2 linked regions of the Ovis aries genome follow. The protein of the gene in region 1 purifies or fractionates together with the protein of each later gene. This does not show direct contact. Links are inferred from orthologs where the notes say so. Each region holds a gene or a part of one and is shown on either strand. Other genes may lie near its edges. The genes, in order: U2SURP and SF3A2.

The links.
Region 2: the proteins of U2SURP (region 1) and SF3A2 purify together in Homo sapiens (affinity purification with mass spectrometry; 3 studies listed by BioGRID, with this or other methods). This does not show direct contact. The link is inferred for Ovis aries from reciprocal best matches to the Homo sapiens genes U2SURP and SF3A2.

The regions. Positions count from the first base shown.
Region 1 is NC_056054.1:246,592,258-246,596,075, reverse strand, and holds part of U2SURP (U2 snRNP-associated SURP motif-containing protein), read left to right. Parts: intron 1-166; coding exon 167-246; intron 247-647; coding exon 648-735; intron 736-1,752; coding exon 1,753-1,875; intron 1,876-3,818.
Region 2 is NC_056058.1:19,189,360-19,192,782, reverse strand, and holds the end of SF3A2 (splicing factor 3A subunit 2), read right to left. Parts: intron 3,327-3,423; coding exon 3,217-3,326; intron 2,389-3,216; coding exon 2,339-2,388; intron 2,259-2,338; coding exon 2,118-2,258; intron 1,708-2,117; coding exon 1,639-1,707; intron 1,552-1,638; coding exon 733-1,551; 3' UTR 613-732; downstream 1-612. UniProt on the Homo sapiens protein: Component of the 17S U2 SnRNP complex of the spliceosome, a large ribonucleoprotein complex that removes introns from transcribed pre-mRNAs.

The sequences.
Region 1 (3,818 bases):
ATACTGAATTTCTTAAAACTCTTCAAATTAGTTATAATTAAATCATAGCTAAACATTGTCCTTATGCTGTTGATTCAAAAAATTCAATGTGGAGTTTTTGTTAGCTACATTATTTGCTGTTGGTTTTCAGTTTTAATCCATTTTATGCTATCTTTTGGTATTCTAGATTGCCAGATTATATTTGGTTTCTGATGTTTTATACAACTCTTCAGCCAAAGTTGCCAATGCTTCCTATTATAGAAAATTGTAAGTATAGTGATATAAGGTGATACGCCTAAAATAAAATATTTAAGGGTAAGAAGCTCAGAAAAGAGTATAGTATAACTCTTGCTCAGTTCCCGACATTTCCTTTTTGGTGTTTATTTTATGAATCAGGGAGGCTTTTAAGAACTGGCTCTGAAGGGAAATTTGGAGATAATCAACCCTAATCTTAGCTCTGCTATTCCTTTTTCTGCCTTGGACAAGTCACTTAAATTTTCTGTTCCCTATTTTATGGAACAAAGAGGTTGGACTAGATGCCCCAAAGTAACCTAGATGTAAAATTCCTTATTAATCAAGGGAACTAGTTCTTAAGACTCTTTGGGAGCTTTTGCAGAAGAAAAATTCAGAATAATAGGAGTTAAAGTAACATATTATTTGAATTTCAGTTTTGAAACAAAGTTGTGTCAGATATTTTCAGACCTCAATGCTACCTATCGTACAATTCAAGGCCATTTACAGTCTGAAAACTTTAAGGTACGTTTATTGTTTGGTTATTTTTGCCCTAGTGTTTTAAATGGGACATGGGGGCTGGGAACCACATTGGAGAGCTAAGAGTATGTAAGATAACTGTAAGACATAACTTAGATGTTTTACAAATTATTGGTTTAAAATTTACCACCATTTTACCTTCAGTATCAGAAAAAGTCTGAAATTTTAAAATATGTGTAGTGTTTTGGGTGTCTGGTTTATTTTTAAACATTTTAATAAAATAGTCTTTTCACAGAAAATATTCAGAAGATCGCTTGTTTTGTAGTAGTATATATAATTTGGTTGGATTAGAAATACACATTTTAGTTATCCATGTTTAGAAAGTATATTCAGCTATTAATTTTTAAAATAAACTCTGAAGTTATAGACCAATGTTAAGAAAGGCCAAACAAAATACCTTACTTACAGATAAAAAAAATAAATATACTTCCGTGGGCAGAACACTCATTAAGGAAATTTTTAGCTTGGGCAGATCCCCAATGACTCCACCATTTAGGGGAGTCAAACTAACAACTCCATTAAAATTTTTTTATCTTAAATTTTGACCATAAGACAGAGATTATAGAAAAGTTTAAGGATGGGACAGAGAGAGGTATTAATCTGACTCGGGAAGTATTTCATCAGACCATAAAGGAGTTCAGATCAGAACTTGGCTACACTTGTATCCAGCTTTCATTAGTTTCTAGGCTAGTGTTTCGCAGAATGTGTACCATTCTGAGAGGGAACTTGAGCTTAGGTGACCAAGAGCAAGCAGTTAACTGTTTTTTTAAAAAAATATTTATTCTTAGTGTCTTTCCTCTTTTAATTGAGAGGTAACATTGATTAAAAAAAACTAATGATAAAAAATATTGTAATGATAGTTCTTTTCCTTAAATTTTAAAAACAATATTGCTTTAAAGGAAAATTGTGATGGAAATTCAGCAAATTGTGATGGTCATTATCATGAGATGACGTTTGATACATATTGTCCTGAATAATAATTCACTGTCTTTTTCCTTTTAGCAACGGGTAATGACCTGCTTTAGAGCGTGGGAAGATTGGGCAATTTATCCAGAACCATTTTTGATCAAACTACAAAATATTTTCTTAGGACTTGTAAATATTATTGAAGAAAAGGAAGCAGAGGTATGTATTCACTGTATTTGTCTGATTATCTTAAAATTTATTTCTGGGGATGCTTTGGAGGTACAGATATGAGTAACATTTCTTTGTAGAAAATATGTACTGTTTACCACAAAATAGTGGATATTTGTTGCTGGAATTGTTGGAGCCCAGGAGTTGAAATTATATATAACAGGAATTCTCTGTTTTGTATCCTTATGTAAAAATTGATGATTGGTGTTTTATTTGATGACATGAAAACATTTATTGTATATTAGTAGAAGAAAGAAAAAAAAGCAAGTAATAAAGCGAAATATGCAGCACAATTTCATGTTGTTAAACTGAAGATACCTATGTAAGTAAATATGTACCTGAAAAGATGTGTACCACAGTGGTAGCAGATTCTGTTCATCACCCTTCTGGTTTGTTTTTTTTTTTAAGCCTCCTCAATAGTTCTTGAATCCTTCGTCTTCATTTTCACCATCCTAATCCATCTATCATGTTTTCGCTTTCACTTCTACAAGATACTCCTGATTTGCTTCCCTACTTGAACCACATGGTCCTTGTTTCAGTTTCTTAAATATCAATGTTTTCTCCTACCAAAGACCTTTATACATGTTCTTTCCTCTTCTTGGAACATCTCTTGTCTCAGACCCTTTAGATCTCAGTTTGAGCATAAGTTCATTGAGCTTTCTCTGACCTCTTTAGGTAGAACCTACATACTATACATTCTAATAATACAGTGCACCTCTTTGTTGTATAAGTCATCCTACACTTTTGTGATTATCTGGTTGCCTGGCTCCTTCTCCACTCCCCTGCCCCCTCCGCCTCTCAAGTTCTGCTGAGCTCTATGACAGGAGGGACTAAGGGACCAAAGCTCATTTTCACTCATTATTGTATTCTTAGTGCCTCATATGATACCTGGCATCATTAAGTATTGGTAAATATTTGATAAATATTGTACAGATGACTACTTTTTTGTCAGACTGGATGATAAGAATATATTATTCTTATATCTGCATTTTGTACCTGGGAATGTGAATCTCCAGCTGTTTGGTTTATGTTGTTGTTGTTTAGTTGCTTTGCTAAGTCCTATCCAGCTGTTTTTTTGACCCCATGGACTGTAGCTCCTCTGTCCATGGGATTTCCCAGGCAAGAATACTGGAGAGCCTTGCCATTTCCTCCTCTAGGGAAAGTTCCTGACCTAGGGATCAAATCTACATTGCCTGCATTAGCAGGTGGATTCTTTACCTTTGAGCCACCAGGGAAGCCCACTTGGTTTATACAGGATTGCAGTTAATGTTTCAGTGATAAGACTTTAGCATGCAAAAGAACATATTACAATCAGTTCAGTTCAGTCGCTCAGTTGTGTCCGACTCTTTGCGACCCCATGAATCGGAGCACGCCAGGCCTCCCTGTCCATCACCAGTTCCCGGAGTTCACTCAACTCATGTCCATCGAGTCAGTGATGCCATCTAGCCATCTCATCCTCTGTTGTCCCCTTCTCCTCCTGCCCCCAATCCCTCCCAGCATCAGAGTCTTTTCCAATGAGTCAACTCTTCACATGAGGTGGCCAGAGTATTGGAGTTTCGGCTTTAGCATCAGTCCTTCCAAAGAACACCCAGGACTGATCTCCTTTAGAATGGACTGGTTGGATCTCCTTGCAGTCCAAGGGACTCTCAAGAGTCTTCTCCAACACCACAGTTCAAAAGCATCAATTCTTTAGCTCTCAGCCTTCTTCACAGTCCAACTCTCACATCCATACGTGACTACTGAAAAAACCATAGCCTTGACTAGACGGACTTTTGTTGGCAAAGTAATGTCTCTGCTTTTGAATATGCTCTTTAGGTTGGTCATAACTTTCCTTCCAAAGAGTAAGCGTCTTTTAATTTCATGGCTGCAGGCACCATCTGCAGTGATTTTGGAGCCCAAAAAAATAAAGTCTGACACTGTTTCCACTGTTTCCC
Region 2 (3,423 bases), on another chromosome or scaffold:
GGTACAGGGCAGTCCCTATCTCCTCCTGGGACATGACCTTGGAGACTGGTGCCTGCTGCGAGCCTGGGAGGCCTGTGGCCTTCTCAAAGCCCCCTCTGTTCCAACCTGCCTGTCTATCTCCTGAGCAGTGATACAGTGTGTGTGGCCTGTGACCCATTTGTCAGACTGTCCTTGACAAATCTTTCCCCTCCCCAGAGCAGGAATGTGAGCAGGAGTGCATGCCCCAGACAGTCAGACTATCAACAACCTGGGGGTGTTGGAGGGCAAGGTGTGGAGCCCCTGCCCCAGGAGGATTCAGGTGCCAGCCCCAAGGGGGATGACGCTTCACATCGGGTAGGCAGGTCTGTCCCCCAGTGACCCCACGTGCTCGCTCACCCTACCTCTGAGGCCCACAGAGACCCCCAAGGAGAGTGAGCAGCCTTCTTCGCTCTGCTGTCTTCCCAGAGAACCACCCCACATTCTGCTGGCCCACAGGGTCTGTCCTTGCAGAGACAGCAGGGGCCACCCCCTGTGGTCCAGGTGGGACCCTGACACCCCCTATGGTGGTGGAAAGCAGTCACGTGTGTTCACCCACAGCAAGCTGACCGCCCACAGGTTAACACAGCAGTCCAGTTCAGGGTCAGCAGACTCTTTAATGAGCTCTGAGGACACCCAGCCCAGTACAAAAGAACTCTACTCTGAGGGCGAAACCCAGGAAAACCAAACCAGACTTGCTAGGATGGGGGTGGCTTTTCAGTTGGTGGGGGGAGGGGGAGGAATGTTCCCAGGGCCTTCGGAGGGCAGTGGAGGCCTCAGCATCGGGGGCATGGGCGTTGGGGGGTGCACCCCAGGATTTGAGGGGTGCACCCCAGGTGGCTGAGGATGGACCCCAGGAGCCGGAGGATGGACCCCAGGAGGAGGGGGGTGGACCCCAGGAGGCTGGGGGTGGATCCCAGGGGCTGGTGGGTGGACCCCAGGAGCTGGTGGGTGGACCCCTGGAGCCTGGGGGTGAACGGCAGGAGTCGGGTGCACCCCCGGAGCCTGGGGGTGAACTGCAGGAGCTGGTGGGTGCACCACTGGTGCCTGGGGGTGAACACCAGCAGATGGGGGAGGATGGACCCCTGGGGCTGGAGGGTGGACTCCCGGAGCAGGAGGGTGGACTCCTGGGGCTGGAGGGTGGACCCCTGGAGCAGGGGGGTGGACCCCAGATGCTGGTGGGTGAACCACTGGTGCCGGGGGGTGGACCCCAGGAGCTGGGGGATGGACCCCAGGAGCAGGGGGATGCACCCCAGAGGCTGGTGGGTGGACCACCGGTGCTGGTGGGTGGACCCCAGGAGCCGGTGGGGGCAGCTGAGGAGGGCCTGGGGGCCCTGAGGGTGCAGGCCCACTGGGCGGCATCGGTGGCAGGGGCAGGCCTCCTGGTGGGGGCGGAGGCAGCGACTCTGGTAGTGGCGGGCGAGGGGGCAGGCCGTTCATCAGTGGGGGTGGGGGCCGTTTCACCCCAGGAGGCCCAGCAGGAAGGCTCGGTGGGGCTGGTGGCTTCTCCATCTTGAAGTGGAACTGGAGGAAAAACTGGACAGACAGGAAAAACTGAGTAGGGTCCCAGAGGCCTTGGGGTGGGAGAAGGATGGGGAACTGCATGGACATGGACTGACTCACTTGCTTGGTTTCCCGGTTCCAGTGAGTCCAGAACTTGCCTTCAGCCTTGTCTATTTCCCTGCTTGGCACCTGTGCGGGGTAGAGGGGCAGACAGGCCCTCAGGACCATGAAATGGCCTGGCCCAGGAGGCCCTTCTATGAGGGAACAGGGTCTGACGTGGGGGTGACAGCTGGCATTCTTGCTCCACTGCTTAGCAGCCCTGCCACCCAGGGAAGCTGCAACCTACCCTGTCTCGTTAACATGTATCTGAGAATTGGACCAGGTCAGAGTCCTGCACAGCCTGGTAACAGGGCCACCTCACTGCTAGGGCCATGCCAGGGTCTGATTCACGGTGGACACCCAGCCCCTGCCCTCACTCTGCATCGTCTTCTGACAACCCTCAGGAGGCAAGGGCCCAGAGGGGGCGCCTGGTGTGGGCTGGGGCCAGCTGCTTGGATGGAGCAGACCCTGCAGGACCCTCCGGGGTCCCAGCAAACTACCTTGAAGGCGATGGTCTCATAGGGCTCAGCGGCCATGAGTAGGTACTGCCAGCGCCGGTCCGGGGGCTCGATCCTCTGCTCGTAGGCAGACATGAAGCGGTGTCGGGGCATGATGCCCTCGGCAATCTCAGGGTAGTCGATCTGCAGGGACACGGCCAGTGACAGCACTGCCTCTCAGGGGCCCCTCCCCTCAGGACAAAGGGTTCCCGGCCTTTGCTCACCTGGAAAAGGAGGCTCTGCTGGCCCATCTCTGTATCTCTCTGCTTGGTTACTGCAACACAGGAGGATGTCAGGTCCAGTAACGGGGTCCTAGGACTGGCCTAATGTCACCCACGAATGGGAGAGCTGGCTTGGCAAGTGGGGGGAGGTCACCCTGCTGGGCAACTAGCAGTCATTGGCCCAAGGGTGGGAGGGCTGTGCCCCAGGTGCCACCTGCCTGATATCACTTGGGTGGGGGCAGAGGGTGGGCTCCCCACTGCCCACCCTCCTCCACCAGACCTTCTGGGAGCGGGTGCCCATCACAGTCTAGCTCTGTGGCTTTGGGCTGCTCTCCACACAGCTCCGGGGCCCTTCATATGCGCCCTCAGGCACTTAGTGTCTCCCTGACACAGCCAGGAAGAGGCCAGATGACCCAGACTGACCAAAAGGCCTGTGGTGGCCTCCCTGGGGGTAGTGCCATCCTCGCCCTGGCTCACCAAGCTGGACCACTCCAGGGCCTTCCCAAGCCATGTCTTGTCTGAAACGCCAGTCATACACAGGGTGTGCCCACTTCAGCAAGAACACCTGCAAGGAGGCCTGCCTTCCCCTCCTCCCTGGCAACCCGATCCTCTGCAGCTGCTGGCCCAGGTAAGCCTCCTCTTTCCTTTACTCTCTCTCCATGTGAAAAGGCACCAGCACCCAGTTCTAAGGTCAGAGGAAAGGACTACACCAGGGCCTGCAGTCCCCTCCCACCCTCGCACCCACCTCTGCTAGGAGTATAAAGAGCAGAGGAGACACTAAGGCCCCCGCCCTCAGGGCAGGAAGCCTCTAATGGAAGCTGAGGCCACTGGTGAAGCTGGAGGTGGGTGAGGGACTGCCCACCCAGGGCATCGACAATTACCTTTGTAGCCTGGGCGGCCGATCTTCACAAACTTCTTCACTTCTACCTTGACCTTCTCCGGTGCTGGCTGGGCGGGGGCCTCCTTGGCCTCCTTGGCTGCTCGCCGGGCCCTGCAGGTGGGACGGACACAGTGTTGAGGCCCCTCCTCACAGGCCATCAAGGCCACAGCCCCAGGCGCCAGGAGCGCCCATCCCCGGCCGACCTTGG